Coturnix japonica: one gene and its partners. The protein of the gene in region 6 purifies or fractionates together with the protein of the main gene of each other region. This does not show direct contact. Links are inferred from orthologs where the notes say so. Each region holds a gene or a part of one and is shown on either strand. Other genes may lie near its edges. The genes, in order: PAIP1, DDX6, LARP1, G3BP1, MKRN1, PABPC4 and ATXN2.

Evidence for each region.
Region 1: the proteins of PABPC4 (region 6) and PAIP1 purify together in Homo sapiens (co-immunoprecipitation; 3 studies listed by BioGRID and IntAct, with this or other methods). This does not show direct contact. The link is inferred for Coturnix japonica from reciprocal best matches to the Homo sapiens genes PABPC4 and PAIP1.
Region 2: the proteins of PABPC4 (region 6) and DDX6 purify together in Homo sapiens (affinity purification with mass spectrometry; 3 studies listed by BioGRID and IntAct, with this or other methods). This does not show direct contact. The link is inferred for Coturnix japonica from reciprocal best matches to the Homo sapiens genes PABPC4 and DDX6.
Region 3: the proteins of PABPC4 (region 6) and LARP1 purify together in Homo sapiens (affinity purification with mass spectrometry; 3 studies listed by BioGRID and IntAct, with this or other methods). This does not show direct contact. The link is inferred for Coturnix japonica from reciprocal best matches to the Homo sapiens genes PABPC4 and LARP1.
Region 4: the proteins of PABPC4 (region 6) and G3BP1 purify together in Homo sapiens (affinity purification with mass spectrometry; 4 studies listed by BioGRID and IntAct, with this or other methods). This does not show direct contact. The link is inferred for Coturnix japonica from reciprocal best matches to the Homo sapiens genes PABPC4 and G3BP1.
Region 5: the proteins of PABPC4 (region 6) and MKRN1 purify together in Homo sapiens (affinity purification with mass spectrometry; 3 studies listed by BioGRID and IntAct, with this or other methods). This does not show direct contact. The link is inferred for Coturnix japonica from reciprocal best matches to the Homo sapiens genes PABPC4 and MKRN1.
Region 7: the proteins of PABPC4 (region 6) and ATXN2 purify together in Homo sapiens (affinity purification with mass spectrometry; 4 studies listed by BioGRID and IntAct, with this or other methods). This does not show direct contact. The link is inferred for Coturnix japonica from reciprocal best matches to the Homo sapiens genes PABPC4 and ATXN2.

What each region holds. Positions count from the first base shown.
Region 1 is NC_029547.1:15,439,769-15,443,268, reverse strand, and holds part of PAIP1 (polyadenylate-binding protein-interacting protein 1), read left to right. Parts: intron 1-708; coding exon 709-821; intron 822-2,476; coding exon 2,477-2,588; intron 2,589-3,500. UniProt on the Homo sapiens protein: Acts as a coactivator in the regulation of translation initiation of poly(A)-containing mRNAs. Its stimulatory activity on translation is mediated via its action on PABPC1. Competes with PAIP2 for binding to PABPC1.
Region 2 is NC_029539.1:4,832,964-4,836,463, forward strand, and holds part of DDX6 (probable ATP-dependent RNA helicase DDX6), read right to left. Parts: intron 3,482-3,500; coding exon 3,335-3,481; intron 3,098-3,334; coding exon 3,003-3,097; intron 2,339-3,002; coding exon 2,216-2,338; intron 1,878-2,215; coding exon 1,749-1,877; intron 1,444-1,748; coding exon 1,327-1,443; intron 131-1,326; coding exon 67-130; intron 1-66.
Region 3 is NC_029528.1:5,943,588-5,947,778, forward strand, and holds the start of LARP1 (la-related protein 1), read left to right. Parts: upstream 1-1,391; 5' UTR 1,392-1,493; coding exon 1,494-1,842; intron 1,843-4,191. UniProt on the Homo sapiens protein: RNA-binding protein that regulates the translation of specific target mRNA species downstream of the mTORC1 complex, in function of growth signals and nutrient availability.
Region 4 is NC_029528.1:5,176,353-5,179,852, reverse strand, and holds part of G3BP1 (ras GTPase-activating protein-binding protein 1), read right to left. Parts: coding exon 3,493-3,500; intron 3,045-3,492; coding exon 2,951-3,044; intron 2,608-2,950; coding exon 2,403-2,607; intron 1,670-2,402; coding exon 1,568-1,669; intron 1,252-1,567; coding exon 1,140-1,251; intron 769-1,139; coding exon 643-768; intron 561-642; coding exon 430-560; intron 1-429. UniProt on the Homo sapiens protein: Protein involved in various processes, such as stress granule formation and innate immunity. Plays an essential role in stress granule formation.
Region 5 is NC_029516.1:55,541,463-55,544,962, reverse strand, and holds part of MKRN1 (E3 ubiquitin-protein ligase makorin-1), read right to left. Parts: intron 641-3,500; coding exon 414-640; intron 1-413. UniProt on the Homo sapiens protein: E3 ubiquitin ligase catalyzing the covalent attachment of ubiquitin moieties onto substrate proteins. These substrates include FILIP1, p53/TP53, CDKN1A and TERT.
Region 6 is NC_029538.1:4,814,725-4,818,861, forward strand, and holds the start of PABPC4 (polyadenylate-binding protein 4), read right to left. Parts: upstream 2,801-4,137; 5' UTR 2,700-2,800; intron 2,330-2,699; 5' UTR 2,301-2,329; coding exon 2,108-2,300; intron 1-2,107.
Region 7 is NC_029530.1:5,315,403-5,318,902, forward strand, and holds part of ATXN2 (ataxin-2), read right to left. Parts: intron 2,768-3,500; coding exon 2,697-2,767; intron 1,980-2,696; coding exon 1,672-1,979; intron 1,186-1,671; coding exon 1,122-1,185; intron 1,020-1,121; coding exon 867-1,019; intron 1-866. UniProt on the Homo sapiens protein: Involved in EGFR trafficking, acting as negative regulator of endocytic EGFR internalization at the plasma membrane.

The DNA of each region.
Region 1 (3,500 bases), on a different chromosome or scaffold from region 6:
CAAAATGAGTTTTTAAGTATCTGCTTCAGTGATACTAATTAAATCCAGTTGAGAAGATTTGTAGATAGTTCTGTGCAACAAAAAGGCTAAAATGAAGGGGGAAAAAAAGAAACAAATCCTGCGCAGTTCTCCCTTCTTTTGAAGGTCAGGTGTCTCAGTCAATCTATAAAGATTAATCATCTGCTTTTCTCTATTCTTTCTAATACATTTACATATGTACCATTTCTTGTCGTGATTTACTCTTCCTAGGCATACTCTACTGCTGAATATAGATTCTAGAACAGATAGCTCTGAAATTTTATCAATTTTTTTGTTTGTTTGTTTAAACATTCATTGCTCTTTAAGAAAGTGTATATCCCTGAAGAAGTCTTAATGCCCTCTATAGATTTTTTTAAAATTTATTTTTATTTATTTATTTTTTTTACAGTTTCTACGTATGTTTTAGACACTCTTTGGTGTAGGTTATAATGGAGGAGTTGAATGCTCATGGTAAAAAGCCACAGAATCACGTATAGTGAGTGTTTCTGTTCTGAAATGTGCATAGCGAAGCGTTGAAAACTTATGTGCCAAATAATAATAATTAATCTTCTACTTTTCAGTTATCAAATCAACTGTTGTTAAATAGCTTTTTCTAAAGTTAAAGGTACTTGCTCATAACCTAATCATTACCTGTACAGTTAATTTATTTATCCACTTTTACTTTGAAAGGCCACATCAGTCCCAAACTTTTCCTACATGGGAGCAAGGTTGTGTAACTATTTATCTCACCATCTAACCATTAGTCCACAAAGTGGGAACTTCCGACAGTTGTTACTTAAAAGGTAAGTATCAGTGTGTCCTCTTAAGCCTATTACTTCCTGTGGCTGGGTTATGTATCTTCTTCTTTTGTGTGTAACTCTTAAATAAGCATCCAAAGAAGTATGAATTTAAAATAGAAGGATTTTAAATTGAGAGCTATTAAGGCAGAGGTACATACTGGATATTGAGTATGTACATACGTTATTTTCTTTTATGTAAAAACTGGACTCAGTTCAGATTCTGTAGTCTCTTCTGAACTCAGTACCAAATTATAGAGTAAATTTGAAAGCTAGTCGTATATACTTCAAAAGTATCCTAAAAATTTACATAAGTAAGACTTCCTTTGTCCTGTCCTTGTCCTTTGACTCTTACTGGGACTCTTTTTTTCTTGAATTGCTTAACTGGCTGGACTTGCTGTGACTTCATGGATTACATGGTGCAACATTTTTTAAATGAATGTGTCTCCTTTAAAATCCTAGCGTGTGACATTTGAAGGATTAATATATTTTACTTCAGGAGTGTTTAAAAATAATCCTTTTCTCTTTAAGGACTTTTGGCTTTCTAAGCATCAGGCTTAATTTAAAAGTTTTGCTTAGTGCATGGAAATTTACAAGCAAAAGCATGGTAAGCTTAAAAGATCATCAAAATGAATTTCTGGAAATTGGGAGCAGTACCTTTTGGAAAAGCAAAAATACTTTGTTACATGTCCTTGTTACAAAGGATATAACCTTTTCTCCTTCCTAGTGACACTACAAATCATCATTTTTATCTTGTTTTCTTAATTACATTTGTTAAGTGAATGGTATAATGAAGGAAATCCTTGCTAATGGTGATTCTTGGTTTTAAAACCAGCCCAGTGATAAAATTAGCACCCTAAAAATGTAAATTTGAGGTTGCTTATGGTTTTGCATCTACTATGGATTAATTTGGGATGGGGTGAGGATAAAAAAAGCTAACTAAATGAATACATATTCTCTTTCTCAGCCCAAATTTCTATCTAAAATGTGACATCTCTCCTCCTTAAACTGTTGAGTTTTCTCAAACATTTCCCAGTCAATTTCTTAATCTCAGCATGTAGGTAATGAGAATATATTGGAGGTTGTCTTGTTTTCCTTTTAATCTGAACTGCCATGTAAACTAGCACTATCTTTGACACACTTGTTGAAGACTAAAATATTGTGTCACTGCTGTATTTCCTTAAGTTATAAATGCTTTTAAATGTATTCAGTTTCCACCGCCAATTATAACTAAATTATGCATAGCTGTCACTTAAAATTGTGGCATAAAGAATTTATCGAGTAAGTGTATAGGCATACCTGGCAATGTGAGCACTGCCTTAAAATGGGGAGAAGCGTTACAGTACCTCCTGTATTTCTGTTAACATTTAGATGCCTCTGTTAAACTTGCATTCATACCGTATTAGGTGTATTTTTGTCTTCAGTATCTCAGTGCTTGAAACCACAATCATGTCATCATATTTATTTACTGAGGACAATAAAACACTTTGCATTTGTGTAGTCCTCTCATTTCCTTTACAAATCATGCTTACCAAGATTCAACATGGAACAGTTTTAACACAGTTCATAAGTTCTTAGCAATGTACTAAATCAGTAGCATATTGTATGTGTTGGGATGCTTTTAAGCACAATAATGATATAATTTTGTTTAATGTTTTCAGGTGTCAAGCAGAGTTCGAAAACAGAGATGAAGCTGCAAAAGGAGATGAGGTTACTCGAAAACAATTCCATGCCTTTGTACTGTTCCTAGGTGAACTTTATCTTAACCTAGAGGTAGGAAAAAAGTCATTTTTCATGTGGTTTTTCACCCATTTTTGTTGCATTTAAGCAAATACTGAAACAAGAGGTATCATTTAAGGTATTGTTTGTGTTGGTTTTTGTTGCTTTTTTATGTAGAAGGGAATAAGTAAAAAACTTCAGAACATTTTAACTGCATATCAAAGGAACAAGCAAAAATGGACAGGATAATTAAAGGAAAAAAAGTGTTTGAAGATACTTTTTAGAAAAAGTGTAAGAGTTAAAAGAACCTAGCACAAAGTACCTTTCCTAAAACTTGCCTGGTCATACCTACTTCACTGTTGGAAAATTTGGAATGAAGTTCTCTGATTTTATTTATTTATTTATTCCGTCATATGTTAAAACCTATCAAAAGCAAATTTAGCCACTAGCTGGAGCTATTAAATGTTTGAAGAAGGGTGAGAGATTTCAAAATGAGCAATCGGAAGTGGAGACCTTCAATGGGATTTCTTTTCAAGGTTTGAATCCTTGGCTTATGCTTGAAGCACCTAATACTTTCTTTAGATCAGTTTTTTTATATCTGTAGTGCTTACATACATTTTTTTTTTGTACACAAAAACCTTACTTGACTCTTACACCTGTGAGTTCAGCAAAGTCACCAACTTCTGTAATAAGCTTGACAATTTTTTACTGAAGTATTTCAAAGGTATGATCTAGTGAGATGCTGTAAAAATGTTCTTGTATCATGGGGAAAGAAAGCGATTCTCCAGCTCTTCCATTTTTGTACATAAACGGGCTTTGAAATGTACTTTTGTCTTTCTGGAAGTAAAAAGGAAGCTTTCCAGGAAGTTTGGGGGGAGAGAGAGCTGTCCAGTTTTATGGAGTTACCCCTCTTATTTTTAAACAGTTTTCTATAATGATTTAAAAAAAAAAAAAAAAACTTTCAGA
Region 2 (3,500 bases), on a different chromosome or scaffold from region 6:
TCATCAATTATACCTGGGCTAATGGCTACTCTACCACAACCTTCAGAAATGCATAGGGGCTCTTACCAGTGCAAACAAGATTGCGGCATAAGCCATTTCGGAAATCGTGGAACACGCGGTTGCGATGCTCCTGGAAACACATAAATAAACTAATTAAAGAACAGTTATGACTTTCAGTTGAGTGCTCAATTTACAACCACAAATCCCACGCTCGCCCCTTCATGAATATCAGCTGAGTCTAAACTCCTTGTTCTGCCTCTTAATACCAAAACTTCTTTTGTTCCCAAGGTCTATTTTCATTCCCAGTGTTTTGACTATCATCTCTCCTAGCTCCATGCCAAATGCTGTATATTAATACCTTACATCCTAAAAATATATTCATGAGCATTGACATAAAATCTGGAAACATCCTTCCTTTAAAACTCAAAGTAACTCCATTTTCCACTGCAGAGCATTTTCCACCACTGAATCAGTGATGGTATGAGCCAAGTGCCTGCGCAGACTATTCTCTCACTAACAAGCCACACTGGACTATGCAGATTAATAAGCAGTTTCATTTTCAGAGAGTGAAATGAACAAGTTGCAGTGTCCCACTCAAATAACGATGCCTCCATTTTTTTTTTGCCAGAAAGATAAAAATAAGAGAAATGAAAACCAGGTCTCAAGCAATCCATCTGCACAGCTGTGTTCTCAACACTGACATCAGCTCCTTTTCTGCTTAAATTACTGCTCCATATATAGCCCAGCAAAGGTTCGTATTGTCAGTCCAATGAACAGCCAGGTGTCCATTAAAGCTGTCGTTTTAATTTGTTCTAGTTTACATACAAAATGTAAGATATTTCAAAGTCCTACCACCTTCCACACATCACTTCAACCTCTTGTCAGTGTCTCCAAGTTCACTAGCTAACAAGGAAAGCTATAGTGTGAAGCTTGAGTACATGAGCTACTCTACAAGTAACATAAATCCCTGTGCACCAAAACCATGTTGCTATTTTTCATGTTTACAGCAAGGCCATGGGTGCAAAACTGCTATGCAGTAATAGTTGGTACTTTCACTGAGAGCTTTGATCAAAGCTGTCTCCCTGACTTCTCAGATTCCCCTACAGCCGTGGAGCAAGATGTGCTGCTTGCCAAGTCACGCTGTGAGCTCACACTGGCTGAGTACTGCTCTGTTTGTATTCCTAAATACCAACTGATCAGTTTGGAAAGAGCAGAAAAAAAGTCTGGACACAAAGTGGAACTAAAGCAAAATACATTTTTACAGCACACATAAATTTAAATAAACCTGAAGAACCCAGATAGCAACTGCTGTAACTTTGTACTTACCTGCCTCATTTTAGCATGGATATAGAAGCAGGAATAGCCCAGCTGGGAGATCTTTTTGGCTAGCAATTCAACCCGTTGAGAGGAGTTGCAGAAAATGATCGACTGGTTGATCTGGAGCTGGAAATATAATCAGAGTGTTCAGTAAACATGGAATTTTCACAGCAAATCTAAGGCATGCATCTAAATCCCTTTCGAAAAGAGAGAACAGGTGCTACAAACAATTCATAACATATATTTCTGAACAACAGGGGAAAAAAACTTCAAGGTTCTGTAGCACAAAAGTGCAGAATAAGAATTATTTTTAACTCTAGCTCACAGCATCATTAGTACATTTTGTCATGGAAAAACCTGTCATCCTAAATCTTACTATTTTATTTTGAAGTGAAAAACTGCTTTTGTAGGCTCTAAACCCTATTGCTTACCCTGGAAAACAGCGTATTGAGGCAGTGAACCTTCTGACGCTCAGTTACATAGGCATAGTACTGGGTAACTCCCTTCAAGGTCAGCTCCTCCATCAGATTAATCTCATAGGGTTTCTGCAAATGGGAATTCTGAAAGACAAAATAAAATAAAGCAGGCGTATCTACATGCAAAACAGCATAAAGACATCCTGTCCTCTGGCACACTTAAACTGCAAAGCACGAATGCACCACCCAGACACTCTGTATCTGTCATGAGAAAGGGCAGGTAAAATTTCAAGAAAGTTTATGAAAGATTGCTTATAAATCCAAGGCATCAGACCACACTAAAAGCAATTACCTTCTATCCCATATTTAGGCTGATATATTAAACCAAGAAAGCATGACTGTGTAAATAAAAGAACACCACTCACTCGTGTACCCTATGTACAGTGTCACAATCATATGTACAAGATTCCAACTGCACTCACCATGAACTTCTGTACACTCAGAGGGAAAGTGGCTGAGTAGAGCAAAATCTGTCTGTTTTTAGGTAGCGTGAGAATAATGTCTTCCATTATTTGAACAAAATCTTGAGACAGCAACTTATCTGCCTGTAACAACAAAAGTACAAAATACGACATTAAAGAGATGGGACAGGCTCCCAGTCCTCTGGTAGTGTAACACAGCAGAAAGAAAACACCACCAGGAATAGTCTCCTCCCCAGCTTCACTCCCTTTGGAACAATCACTACACTCTAAAAGATATTTGATTTAGCTGCTGGAACCAGGATTCACCACTTAAAGGAAGTTTACATTTCCTGGTTTTCAAAACTGTTTTCAAAACAGAATCAAATTAAAGAAAAATAAATAGACGCCAAGAGCTGTCATAGGATTATTTTCTCAACCTTCTCACTCAGAAGCCTGTAATCTCTCAGATGTTCATAAATCAGTTTATATGAACTTGTGGTAAGCACTACTCATTTGTTACAAACCGAAACTAAACAAAATGCATTCCCTCCATTCAGAAGTGACTGTTAATCCGTTCCACAGCAACAAAAAAGTAAACAGAAGTCAAAACCTTTTTAGGAAAGCAACCTAGGAAAATTCACACCCAGAAAACTTCTGCCAAAATACCTTCTCAAACCACCAAGAAATGATTTAGCTATAACCTTGATATCCTCAAGCAAAACTACTTGTTGATGTGCATAATGAGGTGGCTGGCTGAGACACATCACTGCTTTAACAAGTGAAAAATGTTTTAACATGAGCTACTTGCCTCATCCAATACTATCATCTGGACATGCTCAACTTTTGCTACTCCCTTCTTGATGAGATCGAGAATTCTTCCAGGGGTAGCTATCACCACATGCACTGTGGAGTGAGAAGAGCAAAAAAAGTTAAGGCAACTCAGGCAGTGTTTCCAGCATTCAGAGACATGTTTTATACCAAGCATTTGAGAGAATAACCACATACAGTGACAAGGACACACTACAAACTATTTTCTAACAAGCAAACAGTAGCACAGGCAAAAGAGAAAAGTACAAATTCTCCCACCCAGGATAAAAGCCCCAAATAAACAGTAACTGTAATGCAACAAAGTGCACCAACCTGTATCATCAAGCCTCATTATGTCATCTCGTAAATTGGTTCCTCCTGTTGTTGCCATCACTTTGGCACCTCCCATGTGTTTGCTGACTTGGATACAGATTTGACTGACCTGCAGGGCTAGTTCACGGGTGGGAACGATCACCATTGCTGAAAGTTAAAAGTATCA
Region 3 (4,191 bases), on a different chromosome or scaffold from region 6:
GGTCACCAATCAGCCTTCTGATGGCTCCTTATTTGCCCTCCTGGGCTGTGAGCCATCCTCTCAACCCTCCTGCTTTTAACCTTCACCAAAGGCACTGAACATCCTGAGTTGGAAGGGACCCACAGGGATTACCGAGTCCCACTCTGGGCTCCACACAACACCATCCAAATCAGATCCCTACATCTGAGAGCCAACACTCCTTGAGCTCTGGCAGCTCGGAGCTGTGTCTGCTGCCCTGGGCAGCCCATTCCATGCCCACAGCCCTCTGGTGCAGAGCCTTTCCCTTACCCCCACCTAACCCTCCCCAGTGTAGCTCTGTGCTGTGCCACAGACACAACCTCTGCTCATCGGACACCTGATTTTGTATCCCCCAGATGGAGAAGAGAATCTGTCGTGGAACCACACATGTCCTTTTCTCTGTTCATTTAGAATCATGGAACACCCTGAGCTGGAAGGGGACTCGTAAGGATCACTGAGTCCAACTCCTGGCTCTGCACAGAATCACCCAAAAATCAGACCGTATGACTGAGAGCATTGTCCAGATGCTTCTTGAACTCTGGCAAACTCGGTGCCATGGCCACTGCCCTTGGGACACCATTCTAACACCCGACCACCCCCTGGTCGGTCGAAGTCCCCTCCCAGGCTCCCTACACCTTGTCACACAGGTAGGCATCCAGGCGGGTCTAAAATATCTCCAGAGGAGACTCCACCACCTCCCTGTGCAGCCTGTTCCAGTGCCCCGTCACCCTCACTGTAAAGCAGTTCTTCCGCACATTCGTGTGGAACTTCCTATGCTGTACTTTCATCCCATTACCCCTAGTCCTGTCCCCACGCACTACTGAAAAGAGACCAGTGGCTCCCACACTTCAGGTATTTATAAACCTGGATCAAGTCCCTTCTCAGCCTTCTTTTTTCAAGGCTAAACAGACCCAGTTCCCTCAGTCTCTCCTCATAGTGGAGATGCTCCAGACCCTTCACCATCTTAGTGACCCTCCGCTGGACTCTTTCCAAAACAGATCCCTGTCTTTTTTATACTGGGGGAGCCCAGAACTGGACACAATATTCCAGATGAGGTCTCACACCAGGGCAAGTCACCCCGCCGGGTGCTGCGAGGAGGATGGGAGCAGATCAGAGTAGATCTCATCTCTCTCTTCTTGCCATCCCCATCTCCACGCGGCCCCTTTAAGCTCAGCCGGGCGTTGCATCAGGCACGTGCGCGCCGCCGCCTGCCGGCCTGTCGGGAGCGCGCCCCGCCCCTCCTTTCCCCCCTTCCCCTCCCCTTAGGCCGGGTGTGCGCGCTCCCGCGGCCGGGGCGGCGCTGCGCGGTGCGCGCCCCCGCGGCTAGTCGCGTGGTCCCCGCGCGTCTCCATATTGCTGCTGCTGCTGCTGCGGCCGCTATAGGGGGGGCGGGGGGGAAACGCCGCGTGTGAGTGAGTGAGTGAGTGTGTGCGCTCAGGGGGCGCTTCCCCCCGTTGCGGGGCGGGGGCGCGCAGATGGCGACGCAGGTGGAGGCGCTGCTGCCCGGCGCCCCGCTGCTGCCCGCCGAGGAGCGCGCCCTGGTGCTGAAACCGCCGCAGGACGGCGGCCGGGAGAAGGGCGAACCGCCCATGGGGCCCGACGGCGGCACCGCGGCTCAGCGGCAGCCCAGCGCCAAGCAACAGAAAGACGAGAGCAACAACCAGGAGAAGGAGAGTCTGCTGAGGGCGGGAGGAGACACGGAGGACGGCGGTGAGGCGGGCGGCGGAGCGGGGAGAAGGGAGTTCATCGAGGCTCCGCCGCCCAAGGTGAACCCCTGGACCAAGAACGCGGCTGCGCTGGCGGTCAACGGGCAGTCACCTCCAGGTGGGTGCGGGGGACGGAGGAGGGACACGGGGCTGAGGAGGGACACGGGGGTGCGGTCGAGGCCGGCGACGACCGCGCCCCGGTCCGGCAGCGCCATGCGGCACGGCGTGCGGCCTGATGGAGCGCGGCGGGGGGAGGGGAGCGGCCGGGCCGGGGCCATGCGGCCGGGGGAGGCCCGAAGCGGGCGGAGGGCGCGGTGCGGGCCCAGCTCGTTGGGCCGGGGCCGGGCGGGCAGGAGGAGGCCTCCCCTTCCCAGCATTCCGCCGAGCAGGCAACGTGGTGCCTTCCCCGGCCCAGCATGTGATTTCCCCCACGGCTCGGCCTCCTCCTCGGGCCCACGTGCGCGGCTCCGAGTTCGGCCCGATGCGGCCTGAGGGCGGCGGGAGGCCCTGGGGAACCGTGCGGAGGCCTCGTGCGATCTATGGAGGCCCTGCGGGGCTCGGGGGCCGCGTGTGCTCTGCGTGGAGGCCCAGGCGCCTGTCGTAAGGCTGAGCCGAAATGGCTGAGCGCCGTTAATTCACCTCTTGGGGCTTCTTTCTTTTGTTTTGTTTATTTATTTGGCAGGAGATACGGTGATATCAGGATAAACTTCTTCTCAGGAAGAGCCGTGGGGTGCGGGAATGGGTGGTGGAGTGCCCGGCCATGTGTATGTGGTGCTGAGAGACGTGGCTTAGTGGGCAGTATTGGTGGTGTATATACTAACTGTATATATATACTAACTGTACATATACATGGACTAGATGACCTTTTCCAGCCCTAATAATTCAATGATCCTGTGTTTGGGAGCTGATTGCTGCTCGGCTGGAGTTTTAATTCCTAATATTTTTGGCTTGTCTCTGTGAGCTCCGCAGTCACGCTGCCAGGTATGACATCAGGTTCCTTGTTACTGTTCTGTGTTTTGCAAGAAGCATTGCAGGCTCGGTGGGATGATTCACCAGAGGTGCTATTGATCTGTGAAAGATGGACACCTCTGTGATTTCCACCTGGAAAGCTGTCGTCTTTAATGGTAGCATAGAGGAGGTCAGTGTGCCAGGTAAAAGTCTGCGCCCAGATGGTTTGGTGGTTTGTCATTGTGTGTGCAATGCACAACGAAATCCAGGACTGTGCTGCTGTCTGTGTTTTCCTCTCACATGCAGAGTGACATCCAGCTGCTCACACTGCTCCTTTGTGTGAGAGCTGGGCTCTGTCACGCTGCCTTCTTAGGCTGCGCTCCCTCGGAATTGACCAAAAGGTGCAAAAATACGAGTTGTTCCCCCAGTGTTCCTGTTGGAGGCCTTGCAGTACATGCTAAAGTGGGGGGGGCAGGAGCTTGAATAGGCACTGTGTGGTGGAGGAGGGGGCTCTGCAAAGTCTGATATGATTTTTGAGGGTACAGCGTAACAGTGGGCAATAAGCATGCAACGTCCTGCGTGGTGTTGGGCCTGGCCCAATTGTCCCTGTATTCCTGGAGGAGTTGAAATAATGGAATTGATTTTTGCGGTGCCACAGACGCTGCCACTTGGCTCCCTTGCACTTGGGGCATTGTTTCTTTTGCTGCCTGGTTCGTTAGCAGAAGAGAAAACGTGTAAAACAAACACGGCTGGCAAACTCCCACGAGAGGCAGCCTGGTGGCTGGCCTTGCATAGCGGCCCTTTGCCTGAGTGCCTTCTCATGGGCTTGGCAGGTTCCTGCCGTATCTTTGCTGCTTTGGGTGGAAGATTTCTTCCAGCAGATGTTTCTGAAAAGAGATTTGAAGTGTGAGAATGTGTAAAAGTTGTGCTGTGGTGCAGATGAGCCGTGGTGTTGCAGTGACCTCCAGGAGCTCATCAAAGAAAAGTGGTTTCTCTGTACGCGTGAAACACACTAAGCACACATAAACTCTGGAAAGGCATTACTGGATGTTTTTAGGTTTTTAGCATAGGAACTGTGGTTGGCAATGCATGGTATTTGTGTGCTGATATACTGAATGCTTGCAGCCTTGATCCTGCTATAAAGGAGGTAGTAAGGAGGACTAGGAGCCATTGGACAACAGAACAGCTCTCTAAAGATACGGGGATCCCTCTATGACTTGTTTTACAGACTTTCAAAGCCCTAATTTTTTATTATGATTGTATTAATTATAGGCCTGAAGAGCAGATTTAATGGACAAGACATGCTCCTTAAGGTGTTCACCCATTCTTTAACGATCTGTGCTTACAAAAGGAAAGGAATTGAGCTCAAGCTCAGAGAAAAACAGAACCGTGCTCAAGGTGTTTGTGAGTTTTCACTATCTGTGTCTGCGGATGTGGAAGAGCCTGGCAAATCCCCCTCTGCTTGTTTTGAACTCCTTGACTTGTGCAGCTGAACGTCACCTGGGAAGGGTGAACACGT
Region 4 (3,500 bases), on a different chromosome or scaffold from region 6:
CTCCCAATCTAAGCCATTCTATGATAAGCTACCTTTCAATTTAAGGCCAGAAATAGAGGGGACAATACAGTATTAAAGAAAGGATGCCACTACCTGCTGAAAAACCATGCTGCAAGGGAGCACATGGCACAGTTTAGATGCATCCAGATTCACTGCCTACCACCATGCCATACACACTCAAGGGAGGCACATCTTCCATGAACAATCACTGCTGATAAACTATGCAGGTACTTTTCCTTTGTTACAAGGAACTCTTTTCAACCTGTACATTAGTATAGTTTCTCCCTCTCAACCCCTTCTGTCAACAACTGAATAAGTAAAGATATTACTTGTGCACAGGACCAGACTGTACCTTTTTGTGTTGGAAGCACCTTGAAAAACACTGCATGTTATTAACAGAGCAACAAGCCTGACTGAAAGTTTATTTACCCTGTTGCTAAGGATCTTCTGAACTGGCTCAGGATCATCAAACACCACAAATCCAAAATTGGGGAGCTTCCCACCACTGTTGATGCGCAGTTCAACCACATTGCCATAGCCTGCAAGAGAAGAGCCAAGTTCTTGGGTCATACATTAGAATGTCCTGTTGATCACACCAATGGCTGCAACCACAAATTTTAAGGAGTAGAACTACCAACTTACTTTGGAAAAAGTCTTTTAGTTCACTTTTATCCACATCATGGGGAAGGTTCCCAACAAAGAGCTGGTGACTGTCCGGGTACCTCACAATCCGTCTTGTTTCCACATCACCTTGTTCACCCTCACGAACTTGAACATAAGAGTAAAGTTTAAGGAAAGACAGTTCCCAAAAGAAAGAACAGCATCACAGAATTACCAACTGTCTACCCACTTATATATAGGAAGGTAAGCACCCTACACCAGGAATTCTCTGACTGCATGCTATCTATCATCTGTCTGAAAGCAAATACTAAATAAAAAAACAGGATACTTCAGAGAACATAACAAAAGCTCCAGAGCTTGACTGACATTCAGGCCAGAACTATTCAGTATCCAGGTAAGCAGAAAAACCTCACTGTTAACAAGACTCAACTCAAATGAAACTCTTGTCTTACTGATTCCCCAAAACAAACCACCAAATCAAAGATCCAAAAACTTTTACATTCTGTAGCTTTTCTTACTTGGCCTAGGACCCCTCTGTGGTGGGATGCTTGTTCGCTGCTCCCTCACTCTCTGATCCCTCTGAGGTCTCTGTGGTGGGGTCTGAGATTCAGGCTTTGCCTCAGGACGGGGCTGTATAAATTCAAAAGAGAATTATCATGCAAGAATAAAATGAAACAGTCACACATTTAAGAGCTTGCTATCAAGTAATTTATCAGTTCTCTTGAAAATTGAGTCAAAAGCCTGAATACTATTCTTTTCATCCGTGACTAAACACGTTACGCTGTGGCTCTCAACATCAAGCTAAAATTACCAGGTCATTCCATACACAACTGCATAAGAAGTGACCACCTGAAGTATGGCTATACTACTTTAACCACTACTCCCCCATCTCAGCTTCCTGCCAGCCAGTTTAGCAGTGAAACAGCTTTAGATGCTGAATTTCTACCTGTGAGACTGGTACTTTCACAACATGAGGTGGAATCCCCGATACTGGAACAGCTCCACTGGGAGGGAGGTTCTTACTGGTTACTGACGCCCAAGAAAATGTCTAAAGAAAAGAAGATTAAATTCAGCTCTATATTCCTGATGTTACCATGTCTGTATCAAAGGTTTAAGTAATCCATGATATTATGGATTCAACCATTAGAAGTTTCCCCACAACCCCCTTCGAATCATTCCAAGTCAGAAGACATGCATTACAATAACAGAACACCACTTCTAACCTACATCTGACTTCCAAGTAGAATTGAAATATGAGACAGCAACAGCCTAGCACCAAGTACCACAACAAAGTTAATTAAAACATTGTTTTATGGAATACTCATTTGTCAACTTTTAATTCCTTTGACACTACAGACTAACAAAAAAAATAAATAAATCACCATCTAGGTCACATCTCAACCATTTTCCTGATTCTGCATCTTGGCTATTGGCTACAGTCTATAAAGAACATCAGAAGCTCTGCTTATAAACTAAGAAACTGAGCCTCTCACAATTACCATAGTTCCAACATCCCCATAGTTTACAAAGCTTTCCTTTAGATCACGGTAATTTAGTTGAATTTCTAGGTAGTAACTACTTGTCTATCTACTGTTGTAGAAAAGTCAATGAGAAAAAAGCAACTGGTAAGGAAAAGAACGATCTGGACTCAAGAAAGAGCTTCAGAGCATTTAAACACTTATATCTAATTCCAGATACTTCCCTCACTGGAGGACAGAATGAAACAAAGCAGAGTGTCAAACTTCCTGATTAAACAACAAAAAGTCACACATGGTTATTACCCTGGAGTCCTCTTGCACTGCAGGAGCTGGATCAGCAGGAGCTGGAGAAGGACTCTTCTCTACAGTCTCTTCTGGAGCCGATTCCTCCAATACTGGCTCAGATTTTTCTTCCTGTGCCTCTGGCTCAGGTTCCTGTTCAGGTTCTGGCTCTGGCTCAGGCTCTGCCTCTGCAGTTGTCTCTTCCAGGTGTTCTTCAATGTCATTGCTATTAGCACCACAAGAAAAGCAAGCAAGGGTGGTATTTACTGCATCTGATTAGATATAAGGAATGCTACTTGTGGTTTGTTTCTGTGTTGAACATTTCATTACAGAGGAAGAACAAAGGTAATCTAAATAAAACTACATTGTACAAGCTTGCAAGTTTCACATTAATACACTACAGACCAAAGCATTACATGTACTGATAATCTGGAGTCTCTGCAATAAGCATAACAGCATTAAAGTTTCAGTTGTCTTTCAACTGTCAAAAGGGTAAAATCATGTATAGCAGCAAGTTCCTACAGGTTGTTCTGTAAGTAGTCAATATTACCATCTAACAAAGGTATTACCTGACAGTCTGCTCATAATAAGCACCAGTATCATCAGGAACAGCCTCAGGTGTCTGTTGTCTTTCCTCAGGTTCTTCCCCTTCTTCCTCTGATTCTAAAAGAAGTTAGAAACACCACACACAGCTTTACTACTCGACTCCAACTCACCTCCCACCAACACACATTTGAAGTCTCTGCTGAGGAGCACAAGGAAGCACAACCAAAACATGGCACTAAACAGACATTTCCTTACAGTTATGCTTCCACTTGAGTTACTTGCTTTTTCTGACATTAAATAACATTTTCTAAATACTTCAGAATACAATCATTGCCTACAAATTTGATAAAAAAAGATCTCACAGCTTGCTCAATAGAAAAAGATTATATCAAAAATAACTACAGATAATATAGTGATAAAAGGACAAAACTACAGGCAAGAAAAGACTCGGAACACCAAAAAGATGAATGCTGTAAAAAGAGACCTCCTGTAGTCTGGAAACAAAACATGAAACAGACCCAGGAACAAACACCAAAGGAAATACATGGAGTCTGCTGGTGCTCACCTTCAGGA
Region 5 (3,500 bases), on a different chromosome or scaffold from region 6:
CACTGAGTATCACTTCACTGTTTTACATAAGGAATGGAAAATGATAAAGCTGCAGTCTTTATCCCTAAAAAGTGCTGCTTAGACAGTGGGAAACAATCAATTCACAGTTCAAATTCCTTTCTTTAGACATTGCTTTAAACATCAGAAAGGCAATCTGGAAGACCATCCAGTTTTACTAGGCTAAGAACAAAGATTTAGTATCTTCACGCAGACTGCTCTCCCAGCACAGATAAGGAAGCCCAGCTGCTTTTGAATACGGCACTGACAGGAAACAGTCTGGTTTACAACAGGAATTTCATTCACTGCCCAACTCGCATGCACCTTCAAATAAAAGGGAATAAATGACAAGTGACTGCAGGGAGCTAGGAAGCAATAACTTGGAGCTATTTAACACCAGACAGCTGTCTGCTTACCTTGATGTGCTGGGATCTCTGTGCAGCATCAATTGGATGCAAGACCTGCAGTCCACACATATCACAGACGTCCCCATGGATATACACGCAGTTTTCTCCATAACGACATTCTCCCACCGCAGCATAGGGGCACAGCTGCTTCTTCATCTCCACATCTGCTTCCTGCTTTTCATATTCTTCCTCAATCACCATTTCTTCCAAGGGTACTTCAGTGCAGGAAGGAGCAGCTGGGTACAGAATTAAGGATGGGAAGCAAAACATTCACATTTAGAGCAAGAAGATAGATTTAACGAAAGAAGTTAAAAAAACAAAAACTCTTTGGGTGACCCTGCTCAAGCTATCCAAATGGATTAGAAGAAAAGCAAGGCTCGCTTCAGTCCAAGTTCCACATACCTTCAATCTGAACTAAGTTATTTTCTGACTCAAGAAAGCAATACCGATTTCTAATGTAATTTGTTCATCTTTCAATTCAGACAAGACTAAAGCTATAAAGGCTTCGGTGGTCAGAGCAAAATCTATTTACAGGCTCAGCCTTTGCTAGAAAGTCTCACTAACTACATTTTTATGCTAACTATGGTTCAGCAACAATTAAGTAAGGTTAAAAATCACTCACTGCTTTGAGAATCAGTTCTTGTCCAGCTGGAATTGATTCTCAATTATCCCTACTGCAATTACATCACTGAAGCAATAGCGGTGTATCCAGCATAAAGAAATGCCAGTACAGAAACACTACATCACCAGTTTCTCAAAGGCAGGTTAATCAGCATGATGTTGACCACAGCTCCATGTGGCTCTGTGTCTACTCTAGATATTTGCAAATAAAGTAAATAAAACCCATCCGAAACAGATATCCAATCTGCCCTTGTTTGCTCAAGCAGCAGTAACAACAACAAAGAAAATCACCAGTACCGCTCTGTTTCCATTCCCTTGGTTGTCATTTTTGCCAGTGCTTTTTCTTCATGCCGTTAAGATTTTTTTATTATCGTTTTTAACTTTCTGAGGAGGGAGAGTTTAGTAGATCACAGGATTCACAGACAGAAGGCTACTAACCAGAGAAATACAGTTGAGTTTCAAAGGATCCTACTGCTACAGCACCTCTTTGAAATGGGGCTGGCAAGATAATCTTTTGCTCAAGGCAATCCTATATCCCTGGAAAACGTATACTTTGAAGCAGAGGTACACTTGAAGCTTTTCTTAATGGAGAAAGTTTCCAGAGTCACCTGTGCTCCTCTGAAGGATATCCTTTATAAAACCTTTCTTGATAAAGTTTTGACAAAGAGCTTCTTAGCTGAGGTTCTTTTGAGAAGAAAGGTTCTGAAGTCTTATCCCCCAAAGACTGACTTACAATCCCATTCATTTTCTACGCTGGGCCACAAAAAGAGAGAGCAGAGCTTCAAACCTTGGCAAAAATGAATATACTGAATTATTTAAGGAGCAACAGCAAATAACACAACACCACCACTAAAAGCAACAAGCAGAATATGGAGTGTAGCTAGTAAATTCTAGCTAGGTACATGCTACTACCATCCTTGTGTCCAAAGCACAACCAGTTCTTGTCATCTAAAGGTCAAGACATTAAGATATAGCTCTGTGAATGGCGATCTTTAATAACGCCTTCAGGCACTTTAAAAGTACGACATTATAGGAGGGGGAAAACATGCTGAAAGTGACCTCATTTTTCAGTCCCAGTCCTCCATGCTTTCCCAGCACTTCATCTCAGCTACAGCTGTATTTCTATGAAAATGAAATCAGTTTTTTTCCTTCTTGTCTTACCTTTTCCACAATCTGAAACCCTACATGTGTAACTCTTGAACCTACTGCACTGTTTTGCTCTATCTTTGAAAGTCAAATTAGAGAAACTTAGAAGTCACAGTCTCAGCAGTTCCACATCCAAACACTCCTCACTTATCTTCTATGATTCTGCCCGCTATTTTCAAAGCCACTACTCTTCAGTAGGTTAGATCCCAGAAAGCTGACCTCCCATTCTCCATTTCACTTGGAAAGGACCTGCAATATAATCCAGTTTCATTTCACAGCCAAGATGGGTGACTAAATCATTCTGGGGATTAAGTTATGACTATGGTACAAAGGTAACATAGCATCCCATTGCCTTACACTCAACCTACTTTCAACACTCAAGCCAGTTTCAAAACTCAGAGTAATACTACATGCAAGTCTCACTTCAGTGCTTTAGCATGTGCTAAAGAGTGCACTTTTGAAAACAGCCTCACTACAAACAACTCCTGCTTTTGACACTTCGGCTCTCATCATGCAACAATCTCAATATATGAACCGGGTAAGTTTTGGACCAAACTGAACAATGCTAAGAGCACATCTGATGCTTGAGCTGCAAAGAGATCTTCAGCCCACAGACCCAGACCGTAGCTATGCCAACCTGAAAACCGAGCCAAGAAACAGCTGCACTGAGAAGCGCAATGTCTCTACCTCTGCCAGCAGATTCATTCAGCAAATCCACCTGTTTATATTGAAGAGCTACATAGAGGTTGCAAGCTTGTTAAGTTTTAGAACTCTCTAATCATGCCGCATTTTTAGAGCCCAAATGTATATGGAAAATAATGAGGCTACTAGCTCCTACTAAAGTGGATGATAACAGAATTTCTAAGCTGAGGAATATCTCTCAAGTTCTGAAAAACTCAATTAAGGCATTAAGATATTATCTACTCTGTCAAGATGAAGCTGTGCCCATGAAGTAAGTAGCATTTGCTTTCAAGAGCTTGCACTCTCCAGCTTCAGTCTACATCACATTCAAACGCTCAGCTCTTAGTAGGATTATTCCAATTACTTTTGTTTCCCCTTATATGGCATACAGAACAAAAGCACTCTGGTCTACTTAAATCCAACCCAAATAGTTTAACGAAGTATTTTCCACACAAAATTTTCCAGTCTTCAATTTATGTAGCAGGACAGGTATATACTTGATTAGAATATCCTATTAGAAGACATTTTCAATAAAACCACGACACTCCTTCCTGCTGGCAGGTCCATCATTTAAAAGGAACATAAGTTTCTCTACAGTGAAAGACAGCAAGTATGTCTTCATTCTGCGGGAATTCAATACACAGAATC
Region 6 (4,137 bases):
GCTTAGAGACAGTTATCTAATCCCAGCCCCGGGTTCCTTCTTGGCTTGGGAAACACGCACTGTTCTCTGTACTGCCAGAACAGCTTATCTCTATGGCCACATTGAAGTTTCTCTCCATGATTATCTGAGTTGTCATAACTGTCAATGTTATAAAACCCGGGAACACAACTGAACTGCATGAGGAGCACATTTAAAAGGAAACAGCTTTTTTTTTCCCCCTCCCAAATGAAATGTGTTTGTTTTCTTTCCACTTACAGTTAAGAAGAATAAATATTAACAACCATGGCAAAGTCTGAACCAGCCAAAACTTCAAAGCGTTTCCTTAACCTGCCCATCAGAACAGGACAGACCCAGCACTGAGCATTCACTGCTCACCATGCACCAAACCTCAACTGAAGGCAGCAGAGCTCATTTTCACTAAAAATAACCTCCCTGCAGACCATCAAGCAATGCATGTCCAAAAATAACCCCTTCAGGGTAAAGCATCACACCATCAGCTGTGAAAAAACAAGAAAAATGCAAGCCCTGAACCAGTTTAGATGCAGGAGTTCTGGAAACACAGAAATTCAGGATACGATTACAGTGATCTCCTGGTAGCCCTAAAGGACAGCAACGTTCTGGCTGCTACCTGACTTGTAAACAGCTCAGCTCCTCTAGACAGTAAGGAGAGAATCCTATTTCCCACCCAAAGGTTAATAGGATCTGACAACTCTTCAGATTTACAAAGTGCTCCTACTTCCACTAAAGGTATCCAGGAAATACAAACTATCCCTTTTCATGCTGCTGTTCACTACATCAGGAAGGACCTTTCTGACCCAGATCTCTTTGTGGAGGCAGAAGAGTTTGCGGATTTCTCCCTCCCTCCCAATAGTAACTCAAAGATAAGGTTTAAGTCACTTGACCTTGTAAGACCTACCGGTAACAGGACACCAGTTACTCTGTCAAAGTATCACTTCATGTGCTGGGGCTTCCTAAAATGTCTGCTGCTTCTCCAAGAGCCCAGAATGATGCAACATCCCTCTAAACTCATGCCTATTTATTACCATAAAAGTTTACCTTGAAACACATGGGGAGACCAGCTGTCTTCCTATTTGTTTGGGAGTTTTTCCTGATACCATAAGCATTTACAACTAGCTACTCTTCCCTTTTAACATCACACCTACACCTACATGATAGGGGTCTTCTCTACTCTAAGAACACAGAAGGCATTCTGAACCGGGAAAGAGGACAGCAACCAGGACGGTACAGTCACCATCAGCTCACATCAAATCAGCTGAGAGCTCAGAGGCTCTGCTGGCTTGCAGGAGCACAGCTCTGTGATGACATTTCTACACACTGTGAAGGCTGTGACCTGAAGGCAAAGTATTTATTACCCTGTGGAAGTCTGCTATCTGCTCTCTGTAAAACTCAAAGGCAGGATGGCCAATCACAGGCTACGGGAGAGGTTACTGGCTGGTCAAGTCTGGGCTGTTATGAACTGATTTTGAATCCTGTCTGTTCTGGAGATGTCTATATATAGAGACTGCTAAATCACAGCAAAGAGCAGTAAATGTGCACCAGGCAACAAGTAAAGGCTCTCAGAACAAGGGCAGAAAATACTGACCTACTTTTCTTCCAGAAAAAAAAAAAAAACACATTCACAAAGACCTTTTCTGTCCCATCTTTCATGCTTCCAACTGCTTTAGCACTGGAGCATCTACTGAATCAGGTGCCAAATGGAACTACTAGAAACAATCTGGCCAGAGTAAAGCAGCACGGACCCTGCACAGGAGGCAGCACAGTGCATTGCACAATGAGCTGCTCAAGAACAGCACTGCAGATTGTCATACAGCAGCCATCAGCCCTCCCAGGTGTGAAGGGAAGCAGGTGAGCAGCCAGAGGGTGAGGGCAGAAAGCAGCCAACTGGGGCTCATTAGCCAGCTGTGCCAGGTACACAGAACAGCTGGCACCTCCAGTGCTTTGGGGGGGCACCCCCGAGCAGGTGGAGATCCTGATAAACTGTGTTTGAATGTCTGAGAGCCGTGAGGCTGTTTGAGAGGCACAGACACAGCGGGTGAACGCCAAGAAGGGAGGACACGGCTCGGAGCCCCCCGGCTGCTCCACGTACCGTCCGCCGGCTGCTGGAAGTTGACGTAGGCGTATCCGAGGGAGCGGCGTGTGATCATATCGCGGCACACGCGGATGGAGAGGATGGGCCCGGCGGGGCTGAACTTCTCGTACAGCATGGCCTCGGTCACGTCGGGGTGCAGGTCGCCCACGTACAGCGAGGCCATGGGGTAACTGCCGCCCGCCGCGTTCATGCCCGGACCGCTCGGCGTGGATGGGGCGTCTGCGGGGAGAGAGAGAGAGAGAAGAACCTCCGTCAGGGCGGACCGAGCCCCGCTCACAGCCCGGCCCGGCTCACAGCGCGGAGCTCCGGGCCCCGCACGGGCCGTTTTCAGGCTGTTTGGCCATAGAGCCACAACCCGCGGCCTCCGACACCCACAACCCGCCCCAACCCGGAGCTTCAAACCGCCCCGTCCCCGCGAGGCTCAGCCCCACAACCGGCCCCGACGGGCCGCAGCCCCACGCGGCAGCCGGGATCGGACCGGACCGTGCCGCAGCCGCCCTGCCCCGCTCCGTGCCCCGCTCCGTGCCCCGCTCCGTGCCCCGCTCCGTGCCCCGCTCCCCGCCCCGTCCCGGTGCCCGGCCCCACTCACGCGCTGCGGCCCGGCGGGCACAGAAGGGGCGGCTCACACCGCGCTGCCCTTTATATCCGGCCCGGTCCGTGCGGGGCCGCGTGCGGCGGGACGGAGGGAGCGGCCCCTGCGGCGCCACATCCGCTACAGCGCCGCCCTGCGGCTGGGAGGACCGAGACCGGGGCGTCCGGATCGGGGCTGCTCCGCTGCGGGAGGGACCGGCAGAGGGCGGCGGAACCGCACCGAGACACGGCGGGACGGAACGGACGGGAAACCGGCACCGTGAGGGGCTGAGCATCGCTGAGTGCCGCCCACAGCCCCGTCCGCACCGCAGCAGGCACAGCCCTGCGTCCCCTCGGGCTGCTCATGGTGTTTGTAGCCCGAAGAACGAGGATGCTCGGGGGACTTTGGGGATTTCCCCTACAGGGCAGATCAAACGTTGCCGGGATGTGTTACCGGAGATGTTTGATCTTAGAAAAACCCTGGGAAAAGAAGCTCCATCCCTCACCCTCCACTGCGACCGAAACGCTGCTGCGGGGGGAAAACCCCGCGGGGCTGGAGCGCTGCCCTCCCACCGCCTGATCCCGGCACGCAGGAAGCGGTTCCCGCAGTCCCCGCTTTGCTTTTACCCCCGCGGGGCTGTGGGTGAACAGCCGCCCCAAAACGAGCCATGCGGGGCTGGACCCCCCCGCCACCTCCCACCGCGTCTGGGCTGCCGGGCACCGGGGCTGGCTGCGCTCAATGGCCCCATTATCGCTCCCTCTGACTCCAGACGGATGCTGCCTTCCTCCTCGCAGCTGCAGTTGCTCCCTTCCAGCAATTCCCAACACGGCACTTAAGGCGAGGATTTATGGGCGGTTTGGAAAGGCGTTTTGGAGCGAGAACGAGTTATGGGAAAGGAAGTTGAATTTTCACCGTTCCCCGGGAAATTCTCGCAGCCTCTTTCACGGCCGGGATCGCTGAGGATCCTCCCCGCTGAACAGGGGCTGCTCTCAGCTCTTCCCACAGCCCGGAGCCGAGAGGTGACTCTGGTTCTGCTCACAGAGGGTCAGCAGACACAGGGCAGCCCCGCAGTCTGGCTGGACTGGTCTCAGCGCGTCCCAAGGCATTTCTGTGGATGCTGGGAGCTAAATGAAACGAGCTGTGCTCAAGCCATGGATTATTGCCAACCTCAGGGTGAGAGCCATGAGATCCCTGCTGATCTCAGCTCATGCAGTGGTTTGCAAAGTAAGAAGTCACGGGAGCAGCCACCACAAGCAGCGTTCCTGCTGGGGATGTTCCCTTACACTACACCTCAACAAAGCTCATGTGCTGCAACGCCAGCAGTCATCCCAGCATCCAGACTGGCAGAACAGCTGCACACCAACACTGCATCTCACACCAACAGGGGCTGGAAAGACTTTATTTACCACCTTTGCTGGATGTCACAGCTGTGACTCTAACAGAGGGAGGCTGGGCT
Region 7 (3,500 bases), on a different chromosome or scaffold from region 6:
ACTATTTACACAAATGTAATACCTTAAGTCAAACATAAGACTGAAGCCTCATAGAAGTTTGCAAGAAACTCCTTTATTCCAAACAAGAAGAGCTCTTGTGACCTTGTTGAAGCTGACAGCTAAATTACTCATTAACACATTCTGAGCATACTGAGTGTTTTGTTAACACATTACCAGAGAAAAGTTAGCACAAGATCCATCGCTTCCTCCGCTACCAAAACCTTTAACCACAAAGTTAGGACTGTTAGCCACATTTTTTTTCCAATAACCAGCAACCATTCTGAACAAAAGGAGGAGAAGGGGAAAAAAATTCCAGATTTCAAATACAGTTTAGTAAACTCTGCCTAACCTATGTTTTCTTTCACCACCGTGACTAAGTCTGCACATACAACCAAGACCATATGGTTTGCAATAACCAGCCAAGTAATGCTAGTATTGCTGCTGCAAGCAATGTATCAAATCAGACAACTTTACAGCAGCTAAGTCTGAAAGCCTGGTGATCTCTATAACAATCAGAAATGAGTGGGACACAGCTGGAAGCTGAGGAAAAAAACTAGAACAGTTGCTTAAAACTTAAGTTAGCAGTACTGTGCTGGGAGCAAGGGAAAGGAGGTCTGCACAGATTAACAATAAATGCAAGTAACAGCTGTTGGAATTTACAAGTGTTTGAGACTATTAAAGCTCTCAGGTTGAAAGGCCACTGGGGGAAAGTTAGTATTTACATAGCTAAAACTGAACAACAGTTTAATTGTTCCCATATTTACGGGAGTAATACAAAGTGTACTATTAGACTCTCTTAACTTAGATGTCCTAAGTCTCCCAATCTGAAAAGTGTAAACAAATTTACATCACATGCTGTGCTTTACCTGCACGCCTGGACTCACTGGAACCGGGTACATCATATTTGGTGCAAAACAAACAGGTTGAGTGTACACTGGAGTTGGCTGCTGATGGCCCACCATGGAAGGGCTTGGTTGAGCTTGCGGGCGAGGGGAAGTTGGTGTAGTAGAAGGCTTCGGCTACAAACAGAGTTCAGCAGCACATATGTAAGATTAGCTTGACCGTACTCCAAGTAAAAGCTTTGCCTCTGAGCAAATGTTAAACAGTATCAAATAACCTACCTGAGCAAAAGATCGAGGGTTGAATTCTTTTGCATTAGGATTAAGTGTAGATTTTCTAACTTGCCTAAACATAAAGAACAGCAAAAAATAACATTGAGCATTACTCCACTACAGCACATATGCAGAACTCCCTAACAATTAAAAAGCTACAGAGATTAAATATTTCCATCCGTGAGTCAGACTTCTGAGAACTCAAACAACACAGCACACAAGAAGCCACTCTCACTGACACTCTTACTGCACTTCTCTACAGAGGAGTTTTCCTGCTGTTGATACTTGAGTTCACATGAGGCAGAAAAACACTTAAATCATCATTTAGACATAGAACAGACATCAAGAGGACTAGAGCTATACTCGCAGCTCTACCACTGACTCACAAGATGGTTTTCATTCAGTACAAGCATCTCATCTGCTGTTTCCTTTGCTCAATTAAGAGACAAATTACAACAGCCATATAAACATTAGGATATTGCATGTTCATAATAGCTTTTGTACTGACAATTAAATGCTAATAACAGATTTGCTTATCCTAAAAGACATAGTTACTCACTCAGAAGTATCCTTCTTCTCCTCTTTATCTTCTTTATCTTGTTTGCTTCCAGGCCCAGATGTCTGTACACCTTGTGAAGTTACCTCAGGCCCTCGCTTTTGCTCAGAACTATTACTTATTGATGGAGAAATACTTGGACTATTGGGTTTGCTACTGCCACTGTTAGAGTTAGTATTACTGCCAGTTTCTATGATAGGTTCTTTAGGGGTTGGTTCTGTCTTTTCTTTAACTACATCTCTTGATTTTTCACCTTCTCGGGTTTTGTTTAGCAGCTGATCCACTGCATCTGAAGAGGAACTTGACTGTAACTGGAAAAAAAACCCAAGGTATATGTCCATTAAATTAATACACAAAACTAGGAACATCAACCTAACACCATCACAGAGTACAATACAGTCCCATAAACCTCAGTCGTTTGGAAGTAACCTTTTCAAACATATGTTTCTGGTAGAAATAATTAAAAAAGAACACTGACAACGTTTTAAGACTACATTCTGCAGGAAGCTATTCAGAGGCTTGTCTGACCTACATGTCAATTAGGAAGTGGCAGGAAAACTTAAGACCACGCCTTTGACTCAGCCCCCTCCATGCCGTTTAACAGTAACTCTTAAAAAGCTGACCTGATCTAGTAAATCATTACAACCAGGAAACACCAAGTGGGACAGCAGATATTTGGTTCCAATTTTCCTCAGCAAAACCTTACAATGAACTTTGAAGCAGCTTTTCCATAGACGGCATAAATGTGTTGATTCTTTGTACCTAATTATCGCACATGTTTTGAGCAGCATTTTCAGTGAACAGTATTTAAGCTGATATGCACACTTGTTCACTAGGCAATAAGACAAGCAGACTTAGCAATGAATTTCATAACATTCACTGTGAGCTCTTAAGGACATTTTCACACACTGAGCACAAGCTTCAAGGAAATGTTTCCCCATTAACATATGCAATGTATTCAGTTCATTAAAGTAATCAGGACACATGAGAACTACGATACCATTAAGTAAGCACACAGAGACACTTACCCTAAAGTCATTCTTAAATTTCTTTAAATCATCAATCTGTTTTCTATGTTCTGAAACAATTGGAGATACACCTGCCAAACACAAGACCAGAATTGTCCAAGCATCTCTAATTCAGGTTTTCATCTATAACCCCCATGTTTCTAAATTTGCAAAAAGATAATGCTTGCATATCTACAAATTAAATACAACTACATCACTTCATCTGCAATTTGGTATCATCCCATGAACTGTATGTATGAGGACACAGAAATAGTCTGTAAAAGCACGGCATTATGTAAGTGACACATCTATAGTTCTAATACATCACACACTAAGACAGAAGCCCTGAGGTATAAGGACTGCAGAACCCAGCCAAACACAAAGAAGTGTGCAATAAAACCCTCAAAGCATAACATGCCAACATTTCAAAAGTATCAGTTAAAGCTGAAATGCTGATTAAGTTCCACAATGTAAAAAGATTTTTATGAGAAATGCAATAACAAGCAATGCTGCAGAGAAAAAGGCGACATTAAGGCTTAATAGGAAGAAGCGTGGTTATAAAAAATGGTGTGGATCACAACGACCACAAGTATTGTGTGCACAGCTCTAAGAACCCTATCCAGGCCAGGAGAAAGGAAGAAAAAAGGAAAAAAAAAAAACAAAACAAAAACCACACCATCCACATGAATATCTCTATACTGCGAGTAGATTAAATGAGTGAAGAACAACACTTAAAACTGTAGGTCTCTGTCACTTTAGAACTGCATGACCTCATTTTCTCTACATAACATCCAAGACAGATAGCCTCCTCAAAGTCTTCCTTAA